2 linked regions of the Coturnix japonica genome follow. The protein of the gene in region 1 purifies or fractionates together with the protein of each later gene. This does not show direct contact. Links are inferred from orthologs where the notes say so. Each region holds a gene or a part of one and is shown on either strand. Other genes may lie near its edges.

Region 1 (4,277 bases):
AGCCCGGCACAGCTCCGTCCTGCACCGGGCAGCTCGGCACGGCAGCGGGTACGATGCAAATCCGCCGGGCAGCTGGGGACCCCTCGTGGCTGCCAGCAGCACACACAGCTGCGGGCTCTGCTGGCTGCTCCTGGTGGGCTTCGCTTGGGGAGATGCTCCATAGCCCATAGAGTCCACGCTGGCACAGCAGCGCTGTGTATGGCCATGGCCCTGCGGCTCCTTCCTGCCCAGCATCACCTCCCACAGCTGATCCAGGAGCAGAGCTGTGGCACACGACGTGATGCTCCATCCCCTGCTCCATCCAGTGGCATTCACACCAAGTATTCTCAAATCTGCTCTTCCAGACAGAAAAAATAAACCCTTGGCTTTCCCATTGCTAGAAGAGGTGAATGGCAAAGGAAAACCTTCATCAGGGCCCACCTACAGGAGAAAAACGCCTGCAGCTGCAGCCCGTCAGTAATGCTGAGGGTGACCCCAGTGCAACGTGGAACACATCACACATCTTTTGTCACTTACAAACTTTATTTTAAACCCATTCCTATGCATTACAAAGGAGTAGAAAGGGGAAACAAGCATCCTTTGGAGCTCACCATTACCACCCCTGTGCATTTGCCCCTGCCTACGTGGTTTCAGGATGGTGATGACGTTAGTTGACTCCTGCCAGAGGTGTAACCATCAGCACCAGAGGGGAAGTGAGAGGACAGAAAGGGATGATTGGCACACAGTGAGCTGCACCCCTGCAGTCCCACATCTAAACCATCAGAACACTGGAAGGCTTGAGCAGAAAATGGCTTCTCAGGCACAGGTAAAGTGTCCAACCCAGCCCTGAGCTGTGCCATCCACACAGAGGAGCTGCAATGATGGGCTGGCAGCCCAACCTGGGACACATCTCCCCTCTAGGAGCTGCCTCATCTCCTGCCCATGCAAAGCACTGCCATACCTGGAATGCCTCTTTGGGCTCACTAACTGGATGCCAGCAATCCTTGCCCAAAAAGGTAAATCCCATATTTCCATCTCATCCCTGAGCCACAGGCTATGGAGTGAAGCCTGGCACCATCTGACAAGGAAACTTGCCAAAACACAATTTAGACAGCTACAATTTTGTCAATTTTGGAACAGTGAGTTCTCCTGTCTACCCCCCTAACAGATCTGGAAGCCTGTGTTCAGCAGCAGCTTTCCAGCCAGAGCAGCTGGCTGGTTTTTGTAACATCCCCAAGCTACACCCACAAGTGTCTCTGTCTCAGGACTTCACTCAGGACTCCCCGAGCCCTCCACTGGCACGAGGGTGCTTTCCCATGCTGCCAGTTCCCCTTCCTCCACCCTGCTTCCTCTTCATTTGGGCCTGGGACTCTGCTTTAAGTGTCTCAATCCAGAAGGCGTCAAAAGAGCCCGGAGCCTGATATCCAGGCTCCTGGGGATCAAGGGCGTCTTTGCTCAGCAGGACACATATGGCAGGAATGTTTCTCTTCACTGTCAAGGAATCCAGACCTGCCTCAGGCACGATGGGTTCCCAGATCTCCTCGATCTGTTTGAAAAGCACTTTGGTGATCTGGTGGAGTTCTTTGAGCCTTCTTTTCATGATCTCCACACACGTGATGGTTTTGCTGACAGCCTTGCCTGAGCCAGTGAAAAGGATCTGCCTCACTGAGTCCAGTTCCATCTTGCCAATGGCGTAGCCCATCAGATTTCTTATTTTACTTCCATCTTTCACTTTCATTTCAATGATATCAGGAGGCAGGTCAGTGAAAGGAAGAGGACAAGGCTTCTCCACGATTTTGGTCTTCTTATAGTTTTCCATTCTGCTGCACTGAAAAGGAAAAGCAACCCATGAATACCTGCAATTAGTGATAATACAAACCAGCCACTGTGGGCTTTCCCACTCAGCGAGAAGCGCAGCTGCAACTGTGGCTTCCAGCAACCTGTGCCAGCACAGCAGGGCTCAAAACTGAGGCTGCCATTGGCATCATTTCAGCCTCTGGCCACCAGAAAAGTCTCAGCAGCTCCACACACCTGTACCTGAGAAACTTCTAAAGGCTGCACAAAGGGCTTCTCGCTCCAATTACGTGCAGTCTTTGCTCCAAAGGGCACTGTCTGATTCTGTCAGCCGGACAGGGCAGATACAAACTATCCACCAGAACACCCCGATGTGCAGCAGTGCAAAGCACAGCAGTCATTTCCAGCAGCGGCAGCTCAGACACCGGCGGGCAACATGAATGCTGCCACAGGGGTCGAAACTGGAAGGAGCAGCGCTGGTTCAGCTGGCGGAATCCTTAGAAAAAGCAAAGAATAAATGAAAGAACTCAGGTAAACGGGCTCACGCTCAACCCCCACCCCCAGGCCCACAGAGTCACACGGCTCCCCCCACAGGCACGGTGAAGGCCTCGGGCGGAGAGCTCCGCCAAGGGGAGGCGGCCCAGCCCCACCATCCGGGTCCGGGGTGACGGGAACCGCTGTCCGGGCGGCTCTGCGGGTGCGGGAGGCGGACGGGCTGCGGGGCGGGATGGGGGACACACGGAAAGCACGCTCACCTGCCGGCACGGCGACACTCGACGCAAAATGGCGGCCGACGCCAGGCGTGCGCATGCGCGGGGAGGGAGGCGGAGTGGCGGAGTGATGGCGCCGGGCCTGGGCGGGCTGTGAGGGCGGGGTGGGCCCGCATCTCCCAGCGCACAGCTGGGCTCTGGGCTTCACTAAAGACATGTTCACAACTCAGTAATTCTGTTCTGTACCTGGATAAATTGCACAGCCCAGGCACTACAGGCAGGGGGCAGCAAATAACTCTTTCTGAATAAGAAAGGACCGGCTGCGGCTCTGACTCGCTGCTGCCATTCTGATCAGCAAAGGCACGACGTAGGGCAGGGTCACTTGCTTCCCCCAGTCTCCAAGTTCCCATTCCCACAGGGCACCAGGAACCGCCCCAAGAAGGGACACACAGATCACTGCTTCTACTTCATGCCAGGAGTAACGTTTCCTTATGACACATCAGCCATGGGCTGTTGGCAGCACGCGGATCTGCCCTCCTGAGCTTAACCAGGCATTCTGTGCCACTGATGCATTCACGGGAGGAAAAGACAAGCCAGACCAGTGCATTAGGGCTTTACTGTGATCCACGATAAGAGCAACAAGGGACTTTAAAAGTACGTTACTAGCTTGAAAACATTAAAATAAAAGATAACATATTAATAACAGTGGCATATTAAGAGAAAACTATATGCAAACAGTGGCATATTGATGGTGCTGCTTTGATTAAGGGCCACAAAGCCAGGGTGCCCCCAGGAGTCTGTGACACCATTTGCAGCATACTCACACTAAGTATAAAGATACTGAGGCAAGAGGATGCAAGCAGCTGCTGTGGTCTCTTCTGAATAATGCAAGGCCAACAGGATCCTAGGACTTTGGTCTTCGCCCTCCCTGCTCTGCCATCACTCTGCTGCAGGTTTCACTTCCCTGGCTGCTTCCAGCTGTGTTAGTATTTCATTCCACTGGACAAACTGCTTGGAGAGAAGCAGAGTCTGGTTGTTCCTCTTAAGGAAAGAGAAGCAAAAACTTCTAGGAGGAAATAAAGGTTAGAGAATAGCTGGAGCACCCATCAGCCTGACAGTGCTGATCCAAAACCAATTCCTTGGAGGAGAAAAGGGTGAATAAAACTGTGTCTACACAGCCTACACAGACTTATACCAACTACACACCACTTCTAAGCACTGCATAGTGCTGCAAATTAAAGGTCTTGCTTCAGAAAAGAACATAACTCCCCCACCCACTATAGTTCAGGATGTGTTTCAGCACTGGTATGAGATGAACTGCAAGGCTCTGGCAGGTCACAGGCACATTCAACTGACATGCCAGCTCCTTTGTGCTAAGCCACACTGTAAGCAGATCCATCACAAAAGCTCTGACTCACAGACGACACCCTGCCCTTCCTGTCTCGGATGGATAGTTCTGTCCCTCGGCACTGTAACAGGACTTCACTCCTGAGGTAAGTATAATAACAGGAACACAAACATCACTACACCAGAAAAGGTACCGGCCATTAAACCTAAGGCTGGGGATTGCCTGCTTCCAGCTACCTCTGACAGGGTGAGGTGGCCCAAGAGACAGGTGGGCAGTTCAATCCAAGGCACCAGCTAAAAGGATACTGTCTTGTTGTAGTTTTCCAAGAGCATCTTGACTTCATCAGTAAACTGCTCACACTGCTCCTGCAAAAAACAGTGCCTTGGTGAATAAGCAATAAATAACTTAAAGGACATCTGTAATTCCAGGCAAGTCAGGAATTGTCC
Region 2 (3,813 bases), on another chromosome or scaffold:
TAGTGTTACAAATTACGCAAGATCTTGCTGATAGTGTCTTCAATAAATCATGAACTATCTCATTTGTCCAGCATAAACAAATTACTCATAATTTTTTATATACTAACTTTTTGAAGTGAAATCTTTTCCTGAATGTAGATATATGTATATATTTTTAATTACCATAACCTTTACTTAATTCGGTATTATTCTGACATGAGAACCTGATTAAAACATGTTACCAACATGTAAACTTCCTAATTTGTTGTATTGATGGGATACTTTAGTTGCGTTTGTCTTTTTTAATAAACATATATTGCAATAGTGTAATTGGACAGTTCTTTATGCAGACAAAACTTAGCTAGCTCTGGTACTTACAGTTAGTCTGCATCAGTTCTGAAATCTGGTTTATACACCTTTGAGTTCCTATTTAAGAGTAAAAAGTTATCTGATAAAAATACCTTTGTCAGAGAAGCATCTTACTAATGAATATTTATTTTATATGTGTGTATGCATTTATCTTATACATTACTTTGTGGTTACTTGTGCTACTGATATTCTTCTGCTATGCATAAGACCCACCCAATGCAGTACGATATGAATACAGTAGCTTGGATCATAAGTGGTGTAGTTGTGTCAGCTGAGAACTGTGAAAATAAACCTTGTGCCTCTACAGGAAATTTGGGTGTGGTGCTGTGCATTTAGGACAGGATTGCAGGCCTTTGTGTTGCAGATATAAGTGCACAGGGTTATGCTGTGTACATTTTTACAGTTTTCAGTTTTACAGTTTTCTGAGCCCCTACATTTACAACTCCAACTTTTGTTTCAACTTAGTCCCCTACCTTAGTGCTTATATGCACTTACAGTGATTTCTATGACAACCTTGTTTAATACCTTCCAGTGATATAATACTTCTAGTGTTATGAACTATAATGCAATTGGATTGAAGTTCTTTCTTTGAGATGAAAGGCAATGCTACTGCATAGTCTAATGCTATTAAATAGCTGGCCCTGTAGAATGTGCTTTACTTTATGTCAGATCTTGAATATTTTCAGGAATTCATGGTAAACTAGCAAGTATGTGTGGTGCATCTGTCTTAATGCTTTGAAGATGAATTATCTAACTACCTAGAAAATCTTAAAGAATTTAAAGGTTCTTCAAAGTAGGTTAGCAATATGTTCTTTGATCGAGTTGTGTGGAATGTTAAATAATACTTTTTTGGGGTGGGTTGTATTTTCTAGGTTATCTGCTGGATCCTAATGGAGAAAAGTGTGTAACTGCACCTCGACAAGTTTCTGCTCTACACCATAAAGATGTTTCTGTGTCGCTGGTGTCTGCAAGTGATGGTGCTACAGTGTGTGTTACTGAAAGAGGGGATATTTATTTACTTGCAGACTATCAGTGCAAAAAGATTGCTTCGAAGTATGTGTTACTTTTCTAATTTGTTATGAAGTTTGAGGTGAAGGTTTCACTATAGGCTTCTACTTGCAGTAGAATTATTATACACAGTTTTGTGTATAAAGTAAGACTAGTACAGCACTACTCTGAGTTTTCTTCATTCTCAGTTGTCATATGAACTGCAGCAACTTTTTTGAGTTTGTTTTGTTGTTAGATGGGGCCGAATGCCATTCATTGTTTACTAAGGATATTTTAAACAAAACAGTAGGAAAAAATATTTCATGCTGCAGGCTTAATTTTGAAACTGGTAATTTTTTGTTCATTTTCTGATTTCAGTTTGTTTAAATGTATCTGGGTAGAGATGTTGAGGATGTCCTGCTTTGTTCTGTTTTTGAGTCAGTCAATGTGGCTCTGAATTTCATAAAGAACATGTGGAAATAGCATGCTGCATAGAGTAATTTAGGTTGGAATAAGGACCTCGTGGTACCACCTGGTCCATGTGCTAAAACCTGTATGTAAAACCTGTTGAAGAAACTGGGCCTATGACTCATAAATTATAATTAAGTTAATTAATCTCATTCTCTCTGATAGTTTTCATGAACAGATCAGAAGAGGTAATACGTTTTTTCAACAGCTTCCAGTTATCTTTTCAGCTACCTTTGAAATACTACCAGTATTCATTAGCTTAGGGATTACTATTTATACTTCTGTTCTCTATCGTTAAATAACCATTCTTACACTAAGAAACTGGAAACTGTTATCTTCCATGGCTTTAAGCAGTTAGATTGGAGGGAGGTTGAGAAACTCCTGGAATAAAAGGGCAAAAGGTCTTTTACTATAAACTGCTAAACAAAATTAAAACTGAAATGTATGTGGTTCTGAAGATTAAAGCAATTTTTTAATCATGAAAAGAAAACATGAATATGCTGTGACTTTTTAAAATACAAAATAGGTCTGTGCAGTCTACTAATAAAATATGATTAGCAGTTATGTTAGTTATGCCAGCAGATAGCTACATTTAGGTAGCTCGTCAGTGTTACTATTTTAGCTGTGCTTTTTTTTTTTTTTTTTTTTTTTTTTTATTACTTATCTAAATGGTAGATATAATTTGGTCTTAGAAGCAAGATTTGTTTGTGATGGAAAAAATACTACTATAACCTTTTGTGTTCTTCCAGACAGCTGAACCTTAAAAAAGTTCTAGTTAATGGGGGCTATTTGGAATACAAGGTAGACACCCAGCATCTTAAAGAAAATGGGGGTCAGAAGATCTGCATTTTAGCACTGGATGAAGCTGGAAGAGTAAGTTATGTTTCTAAAGTACCAATTTTACAGCAAACTGCTTACTGAATAATAAGTATGAAACCGTTTACGCTCCCTTGGTGAACCTCTGGTTAAAGAAATCAAAATAGGACTTACCTTGGAAAGGAAGATAAAATGCATGCTACAATACTAAATAACTATACTTTACTGTTTTACTATAAACTTAAGTTGACAGTAAAAAAATCAGTCCTAGAGGATGCACAATTCCTTTGCGTAGTGCTGTTAGTGATGTGTTCTTCTATAATATATTAAAAAGCTATGGGAAAACTACTGGAGTGATCTACAGTACTTCATTTTTAAATCTGTGAACATCTAATAGCCTTTTAATGGAGATTGAAACTGTTTTTCTTTTGCATACAAAAGAAGTTAGGGCGTACGTGGTTCTTGTCTTCTATCTTCTCTTACCTCACCTCCCTCGTCACCTTTGCGCCCTCCAGAAACAGTCTCAGAAAAGTTGCAGCTAAGCTCTGTGAATAACTAAGGATTTGTAGCTGTATGTAAACAGTGTCGTCTTAGATCTGTGATGTTATGGTGGATTTATTTTGTCTTATTCTCTTCCTCCTCTCACAGAGGAGCAGTTGGCACAGGCTCCTTCAGAATACTCTGCCAGCCTTTCCTAGCCTAGGTCTGTTCACTGGGAGACCTTAGCCTTCAGTGCCACCTAGTGGTGCTTACAAAAACATTTTGTTATCGAAATGCTGCCTTAAAGAACGTTAAAAACTGTGTATCAAAATAGTGATCAGTGTAGGTATTTCCCTTTCTTTCCTTGCATTTGATTGAGCAGATCATATTTGTTAGGTCATTAGCTGCCTCGGAGGTCATAAACTTGTGCTTCAGTCCTGTTATGAGGTTTATTCTCTAGTATCTGTGGTATTGGTAGAGTCTCTTCAGCATCTTTGGGGTAATACTTTGGCACAAAAAACTACTTATCTTCCTTTTTGTGTCAACCTGCACTGCATATCTTGCCATGCTGAATACTGGCATATACTGGGATTTGTGCTTTAGACTCTGAAAAGGAGAGAGATGCTTTAGACTGAGAAATGGGGTATCTGAGAGGATCTAACTGAGGAAACACTTGTGTTTCCTCAGTTAGCAACTCCTGGTATAGCTTGATTG

Evidence for each region.
Region 2: the proteins of RPP25L (region 1) and IBTK purify together in Homo sapiens (co-immunoprecipitation; 3 studies listed by BioGRID and IntAct, with this or other methods). This does not show direct contact. The link is inferred for Coturnix japonica from reciprocal best matches to the Homo sapiens genes RPP25L and IBTK.

The regions. Positions count from the first base shown.
Region 1 is NC_029547.1:7,294,279-7,298,555, forward strand, and holds RPP25L (ribonuclease P protein subunit p25-like protein), read right to left. Parts: upstream 2,964-4,277; 5' UTR 2,529-2,963; intron 2,270-2,528; exon of another isoform or gene 2,011-2,269; intron 1,808-2,010; 5' UTR 1,799-1,807; coding exon 1,253-1,798; 3' UTR 504-1,252; downstream 1-503. Other genes in the region: DCTN3 (dynactin subunit 3), read right to left, coding at 3,423-3,512, 4,137-4,196. UniProt on the Homo sapiens protein: May be a component of ribonuclease P or MRP.
Region 2 is NC_029518.1:71,357,417-71,361,229, forward strand, and holds part of IBTK (inhibitor of Bruton tyrosine kinase), read left to right. Parts: intron 1-1,220; coding exon 1,221-1,401; intron 1,402-2,552; coding exon 2,553-2,676; intron 2,677-3,813. UniProt on the Homo sapiens protein: Acts as an inhibitor of BTK tyrosine kinase activity, thereby playing a role in B-cell development. Down-regulates BTK kinase activity, leading to interference with BTK-mediated calcium mobilization and NF-kappa-B-driven transcription.